Drosophila melanogaster: one gene and its partner. The gene in region 1 interacts genetically with each later gene. Each region holds a gene or a part of one and is shown on either strand. Other genes may lie near its edges. The genes, in order: or and p.

Evidence for each region.
Region 2: of or (region 1) and p, changing one enhances a phenotype caused by changing the other (phenotypic enhancement), as found in Drosophila melanogaster (one study listed by BioGRID).

The regions. Positions count from the first base shown.
Region 1 is NT_033778.4:23,965,615-23,969,443, forward strand, and holds or (orange), read left to right. Parts: upstream 1-2,324; 5' UTR 2,325-2,405; coding exon 2,406-2,474; intron 2,475-2,538; coding exon 2,539-2,630; intron 2,631-2,691; coding exon 2,692-2,894; intron 2,895-2,951; coding exon 2,952-3,163; 3' UTR 3,164-3,329; downstream 3,330-3,829. Other genes in the region: Alas (aminolevulinate synthase), read left to right, coding at 1-513, 658-1,034; CG34213 (uncharacterized protein), read right to left, coding at 1,555-1,848, 1,902-1,992, 2,044-2,078; CG10904 (uncharacterized protein), read right to left, coding at 3,529-3,829.
Region 2 is NT_033777.3:8,668,552-8,672,477, reverse strand, and holds the start of p (pink), read left to right. Parts: upstream 1-1,793; 5' UTR 1,794-1,978; intron 1,979-2,549; coding exon of another isoform or gene 2,550-2,653; exon of another isoform or gene 2,654-2,949; intron 2,950-3,303; exon of another isoform or gene 3,304-3,397; intron 3,398-3,772; exon of another isoform or gene 3,773-3,866; intron 3,867-3,926. Other genes in the region: CG8036 (uncharacterized protein), read right to left, coding at 1-767, 2,550-2,653. UniProt on the Drosophila melanogaster protein: Has a role in the biogenesis of eye pigment granules. Eye pigment granules are specialized forms of late endosomes or lysosomes. Biogenesis of pigment granules in the eye requires molecular components required for protein delivery to lysosomes.

The DNA of each region.
Region 1 (3,829 bases):
ACAGCGGGGTTCCCAAGCACATCTTCCGGCACAACGACGTGGACCACTTGCATCAGCTGCTGAAGCAGACGGACAAAAGCGTGCCCAAGATCGTCGCATTCGAGACGGTACATTCCATGACGGGGGCCATCTGCCCGCTCGAGGAGCTGCTTGACGTGGCCCACGAGCACGGGGCCATCACGTTCATCGACGAGGTGCACGCCGTGGGATTGTACGGTGACCACGGGGCCGGGGTCGGTGAGCGGGATGGTGTGCTGCACAAAATGGACATCATATCGGGCACCCTGGGCAAGGCGTTCGGTAATATTGGTGGCTACATAGCTGGCACCCATAACCTGGTCGACATGATTCGGTCGTATGCGGCCGGTTTCATCTTCACCACCTCACTACCGCCGACTGTACTGTGTGGCGCCCTGGAGGCCGTCAATATCCTGGCATCGGAGGAGGGTCGCCAGCTGCGCCACTTGCACCAACGGAACGTCTCCTACCTGAAGAGCCTGCTGAAGCGAGAAGGTAAGACGTAATTCTGGCATTTATGTAACTCGAATTGAAGGTTATTCTCGCACTTTCGTTTTATTTTAAGTGATGGCTATAAATATAGAAAGAGACACTTAACTTTCAGTTTACTGACTGCATATATAATTGGCCCCATTTCAGGTTTCCCCGTCGAAGAAACGCCCAGCCACATCATTCCCATTAAGATCGGAGACCCTCTGAAGAGCAGTCAAATCTCAAACGTGCTGATCGAACAATTCGGACACTACCTGCAGTCGATTAACTACCCAACCGTCGCCCGGGGCCAGGAGAAATTGCGGCTGGCCCCCACCCCGTTCCACACTTTTGAAATGATGAACGCCCTGGTTACCGATCTAAAGAAAGTGTGGGAAATGGTGGACCTCTCTACAAACGTCCCTCTTTCGCCCAACGCATGCATGTTCTGCAACTCGGAGAGCTGCTGGCACCAGGACACCTCCCCGGATCTGGAGTGTGGCATTCCCAACTGCCCTCGCCTGGAGATCTCGCTTGCAGCATAGTTGCCTCTTGGAAACACGACTATAAATGAAGCATTCGAATCATAAAGCTATGCCTAAATTATCTGTGCGGTTTTGGACAAATAAACAATGGTTTTGGTGCAATATACATAAATGACGAAATTTCAATTGGAATGGGCTAAGCTGATTGATGACGCTTCTATATGGGGTGATAAGACATGGACTAGAGTGTCACCTTCGCTATGAAGTTGCGTGTTTTTCGAGCCAGCTCCATGCAAATGATATTCAAATTGGGGAATCGCGTGGAAATATTTTCATTGAACCTTGATCCACACTCGTAAGCACTTAAAGGGCTTACCTAGTTTGAAATATTTATATGAAATTAGTCGCATATCAATTTCAGCAGTGGCAGGCTGAATCAGCACAATTATTGCTGATAACCATGACCATCCTATTACGGACCAATGTTTTTGATAATACCACAATAGATAATGATCCGATTTTATACACTTTGATTAGAGAAGATTTTGTACACATTTAGTAAGATCTATTGGGTCAGAGACTAGCCGAACAGCTGGAGATCGTAAACAATGATTCTACCAAATAGATCGGTGCTGGACTCGAAGACGAACTTTAGCTTTGAGCAGGGGTTTTCCCGGACTGATTCCGCAATCTGAAAAAGCTGTGGGGAGTTGATATCTTCTGGGTAGAATGGCTCTTGGTGAACTTGGGCTCCGTCAGCGGAGTACATGATCAGTTCGGATTTTTGGCCAGAGAATCCGCCTTGGAACTGGAAACTAAATCCAGCTACTTTCTGTGGCTCCTCCAAGCTAATGGTAATGAATTGGGGGGTTCCCTGAAATGGCCGTTTGGAGTTATATTCTTTTTTTCCAAATCTTAGGATGATACCTCATCTGAATTCCAAGAAGTTTCTTCCCGCGTATCAAACATGAATTGCTTTCCGTGCTGCTTCACATCTCTGTTTAAAACCGAGCTCACCCTGCAAACTATACGTTAACTAAAGGGAGTTACAAAATAAAACCCAGAGTACCTGCAGCTGTATTTTACTTTTGTCAAAATATTCATAATTCAATAAAAATAAGAAATAAACAAATCGGAGACCGCGAGGTTAAAGGCATTAGAGATGGGCAACAATCAGAAATCCATAGAATTTTTTTTTGTACGGATTTTTAACACCCGATTTAAGAAATTGCTTTAAAAAATATATTTTCCCTAACTTTCTAAAATATGCATGATTCTTATTAGATTTTTGAAATAAATACGTCAGATAAAGATATATCGATATTATAGATGCTATACCAAGTATTGATTTTGCAGCCCTCGTCGAAAAAGCAAAACAGCTGGCAGTTTAAACATTTTCATTTTTTTTGTTGACTTATCTTAGAAGTTGAGATGATAAAAGCCATTCTCGTTTTTAACAATCACGGGAAGCCGCGGCTATCGAAGTTCTATCAGTATTTCGTAAGTACTGCGACATATAATCCATATAATCTAGTTCATAATAAATTGTCACTATCATTTGTAGGATGAAAGCCTGCAGCAACAAATAATCAAAGAGACTTTCCAATTGGTGTCCAAGCGGGACGATAATGTTTGCAACTTTCTGGAGGGCGGAAGGTGAGCAATATTGTTCCCGCAAATTCCTGGAATATCTTAAAGCACCTCTTTCCTCCAACAGTTTGATTGGCGGATCGGATTACAAACTCATCTACAGACACTATGCCACGCTGTACTTCGTTTTCTGCGTGGACTCCTCGGAGAGCGAACTGGGAATCCTGGACCTGATTCAGGTGTTCGTGGAAACCCTCGACAAGTGCTTCGAAAACGTGTGTGAGCTGGACCTGATATTCCACGCCGATGCCGTCCACCACATCCTCTCAGGTTGGGAAAGCTACTTTGGCAATCCATTCAGATTCAGCTATCATGAATTCGTTTCAGAACTGGTAATGGGCGGAATGGTCCTGCAGACAAATATGAACGACATAATGGCCAGGATCGAGGAGCAGAACAAGATCGTCAAGCAGGAAGCGGGCATCTCGGCTGCACCTGCCCGAGCTGTGAGCGCCGTGAAGAGTATGAACATTCCGCAACAGATTAAAGACATCAAGCTACCTGATCTGCCGCAGGCCATTAAGGACTTTAAGTTCTGACAAATGTGCGTCTGATATAACTCTCTCGTCTAATTGTAATCTGTTGAATCTAGTGCTTTTTCGCAGTCCTTCATGAATTTCCAACAGCTGTCGACTGTTCCGTAATATTAGGTCCCACGTACTCTATATAACTCCCCTACCATAATAAAAATGCAAATGAATTACCAGTAGCGAGAACGAGCCTTACGATTTTGATAGCTTAACAATGCGAAGTTCAACCACTTCCGTTCTATATCGAATGGGGTTTAAAATGTACATACAAAGTGTCTTGCGATGACGTATTCGCATGATCTGTGTGCTGCATATATTAAAGATTTATACCTAAAACGGTGTCCGCTGTATTAAACATGTTCATAATTCTACAATCAACTGTTTGTAAGATCATCTTCTTCGCCGACTTCCAGCATAACTTGCATTATTTTCCGCTTCAGCCTCTTGCGCGAAACTTCAGAGTTCAGGTTACGGAATTCACTGGCGATTAGTTCGCCAAATGCGTCCCATTGATCACGACCACTTAATGGTAAGTGGAAGGGAGAGGGAGCAGCTGGAGCTTCGACAGTTCGATTTGGATCAACGAATTTGGAAGACGGCGCAGGTTCAGGAGGCATCGGAGGAATGGGTTCGCTGACCTTCGGAGGCTGACAGATTTCTGCATCGTTCTCTATG
Region 2 (3,926 bases), on another chromosome or scaffold:
CCGGCTTAGGGGTCAGCTTGACGTTCTTGTTGACAATCAGTCCCTCCAGATGCTTCACCACTTCGGCGGCCTTGTCGCCCAGTGGCTTGCCGTGCCAGTTGTCCAAATCCTCGATGTTGGGGAAGTCCCTGCCCTTGAACGTCTTTGCAATGATGGCGGTGGGCTTGTTCTTGGTGATTGCAGCACAATGGAAAGCCTTGCTCAATTCCTCGACATCATGACCATCGACAACGACGGCATTAAAGCCGAAGGCCTCCAGACGATCACGGTAAACATCCAGCTTATGCTGCAGGGAGGTGGCCTCCGACTGGCCCAAGCGGTTCACATCAAAGATCACGCAAAGGTTGTCCAGTTTATAGTGGCCGGCAAAGTGCAGCGACTCCCAGATGGAACCCTCGGCGGACTCACCATCACCCACCACCACGTAGGTGCGGTAGTCGGCCTTGTCGAAGTTCTTGCCCACATAGGCCATGCCAGCGCCGACGGCGACACCCTGTCCCAGGGATCCAGTGCCCACATCGATGAAGTTCAGACGAGGCGTCGGGTGACCCTCCAGATCGCTGTCGATCTTGCGCAGGTTGTTCAGATCCGCGATGGGGAAGAGACCAGCCTCAGCCCAGGCGGCATACAGAATGGGAGCAGCGTGTCCTTTGGACAGGATGAAGCGATCGCTGGAGGGATCGCGTGGGTGCTTCAGGTTCAGGCGCAGCTGCTGGAAGAACAGCACGGACATGATCTCAGCGATCGAGGCACATGATGTGGGATGGCTATAAAGAGGGAAAAGTAGGCAAAATATTAGATTGTGACAAGGCATTTCGTTTGCATGTAGTTCTAGGTTAAGGTAAGTGCCTAATGAATTATAGAAGTCGACCTCACGGTGGGTAAGTGAAGGCCGATCAACAAAGGAAAAGTGGAACTGAACACTGTGCATACTTGTTAAAAACGTTGTTTAATAAAAGAAATCCATTTGTCTATTGAAGCTTTTATTTAAACCCCCCCCCCCCCCTCTGTTCATATTTCAAATGAAGATTTCTCGAGTATCCAATTGCAATGTACATATAAATAAGATAAGATCCATTCTTGGAATTCAATGTTCCCATGCGATCGTGTTCCAAAAAAAATTGCTTTGAATCGCAGATCTGGCACAACTCCAACCGCAAAGAAAACACGCAACCCCAGACAAAATGGGGGGCTCGTCTTACCCCAGACATATAAATAAACTATAACGAGTACATGCATATGTATTTATTGGCGTTATATGGTGTGATATGTGTGTTTGTCGCGACGTGAGTCCATCGCAATTCCTCACCGGTTTCTGGGACCTTGAACTTTTCTGATCACCAAAAAACCTAAATAATAGCCTTAAAAACCAAATTCTTGGCTTCCACGATTGTGTTGCATGGCGATCTTTGTGAACGCACGTGCTTCTAGATAGTTCCGAAGTGCGTCCCCGTTTCCTGCAGCCATATCAAGAACTATTGAAGGTGATACGGAGTGTTAGCAGTGACCCGGCGCGCTTTTTTTTTTTTTATCAGTTTTCAGTGATTTTCGATTATCATGCGGGGAACACACTTGAGCTGGTCACCTCTAATCGGTCATATCGTGGTCAATGAGTAACCAAACCGGGCTTATCTCGTCGGCAGAGGTCACATTTAGAGCAAACAGAGCAGATCTTATCTTGAACCGTCACAAAAAAAAAAAAAAACGAAACAGAATGGAAAAACTAATGGAGGCGATAAAAGTGTTTTCCTTATCAGCATAGTAACTTTTTTATTTACTGTTGCAGTAATAATTTGATCGCGTCTATCCGAGATATAATTACATTAAAAGCCATACAGTCGTAAATCTCAAGTGTAGGGGATCATTCCATTACTATTCTCATCCCTCTCTTTCCAATTCCACTCCCGTCACAAGCTGTGCTTTCCAACACTTGTATGTACATATGTACATACGTATATTAAATGCCTCTGTTTGATATGTAAGTATGTTTGTTTTTACCCCATGTACATATGTATGTGCTTTCGGCGTTTTGAACGCCACGCACAAAACAAAAGCAAAAGAAATTAAAAGGCAGTAAGAAAAACCTAACGTTTCAAGGTTGTCTAAGGTCAAAAAATATTAGCTCACAATTTAAGGTAGGTGAACGCGGCTTATCACTGAGCACGCAGGCAGGGCAACAAATTCGCAAATTCACTAAAGCTACTGGACAACACGTGGGTTGGCAACTGAATCCCAGGAGGGGTCACTAAAGGAACCGGTCTTCCCATATTTTACTTCTCACATTCATACAAACATAGATGCATAACTATGTATATGCGTAACTATTTTTGTTTTATTTTCTTTTGTAATGTTTCAAAACACATACATATGTATGTATGTATTTAGCAGCCCCCTCAAAAACTTTTTCGCACCCACCCTGGAAATGGAGGGGGTCACCTTTGAAGCAACAAGTGCAAGGTGCACAACTTTTAAAATTCACATCTACACAAACAAATCTAAATACGCACACTTTAATATGCCTATGGACTTTCAGTTATTGATAAACTTACCCCGATTTGGAGGCCTGGGTGGCGTTGATAGAGTGAATTCGCAGTTTCTGGGCCAGATCTTTCAGATCCTGGACGGTCTTAGCTTCGGGCTTGTGGTACGACATCTTTGAAATGCGAATGTAAATTGGATCCGAACAAATGCGGTTTTTGATATGTTGCACAACAAAACTCGGGAGTTTCGGATTCGTTAGCCAAAGGGTGACTCCTCTATGTTTGCAATAGACAGACAAGAGTATCGACGTGGTGGATAAGTAGCTCGAGTCGGAGTTATCAACGGACCACTGCTGCCGGCTTCTGGGAACGAACTGCTCTCGTCGCCGGCACTTCGGTCGCTTTTACGCTGTGGGGGCTCAATCTTGGGAGCGGACTCGCAAAGTATCGGTATCGTCTATCGTCGGCGCTGGAACGAGATGGATATATGTATAAATATGGCATCTTTGCTCGCACACCACCCCTTTATCGGTGCACAGCTGTGGGTGGGTAACTAGTTAGTTTCAAATAGTGCATTGCTGCCTTTCTAAATTCATGCACAATTTTGGTCTAAAATTAAGCCATGAACAGTTGTACCTGAATATTTTCTCATTAAGATTTACAATGCTTTAGTATTTAATATAAGTTTACAAGAATTTAAGGTCCTATTTTTCTGGCCGCGAGTATTAAAGAGCAGCGGTGTTTAAGAGAAGTGCCCTCTCTTTTTGTCACTTTCCCCACCTCGCTCCTGAACAAAAGGTGAATTAGCCGCAAGCGAATTTAACCTTCGATAGCTCAGTTGGTAGAGCGGTGGACTGTAGTTGGAAAAACATGCAATAGAAATCCATAGGTCGCTGGTTCAAATCCGGCTCGAAGGATCGAAAAGATATAAATACCTTTTTTTTATATATTTTGTAGTGCACATACCTTTTTTTTTATATATTTTGTAGTGCACAATTTAAATCAATTTAATTCATCTACAGACATTCAGAATATAACTGAGCTGTTTAAACTAAATAATATAAGAAGGATTTTATTTGGAAGAAATAAACCGTAACTAAATTGATATAGTTTGTGAAAAGCGCCTAGGCTATTAGGCTTGGAAACTATAGGCTTACTGCAATGGACTGAATAGAGAAAGTTGATCAATTTTGTTTGACCTAAATAAGTAAAAATCAAAAATAAATAACCAAATACGGTGCATTTCGTTTGTGCGCATGCATAAAACGAACAACGGCCAAGTTTGAACTCAACCTTCGATAGCTCAGTTGGTAGAGCGGTGGACTGTAGTTGGAAAATTATGCAATAGAAATCCATAGGTCGCTGGTTCAAATCCGGCTCGAAGGATTTTTTGTAATTTTTTGTAATATCCAATTCGTTTTTGTTTTTATAGTAGCACCCGTACCC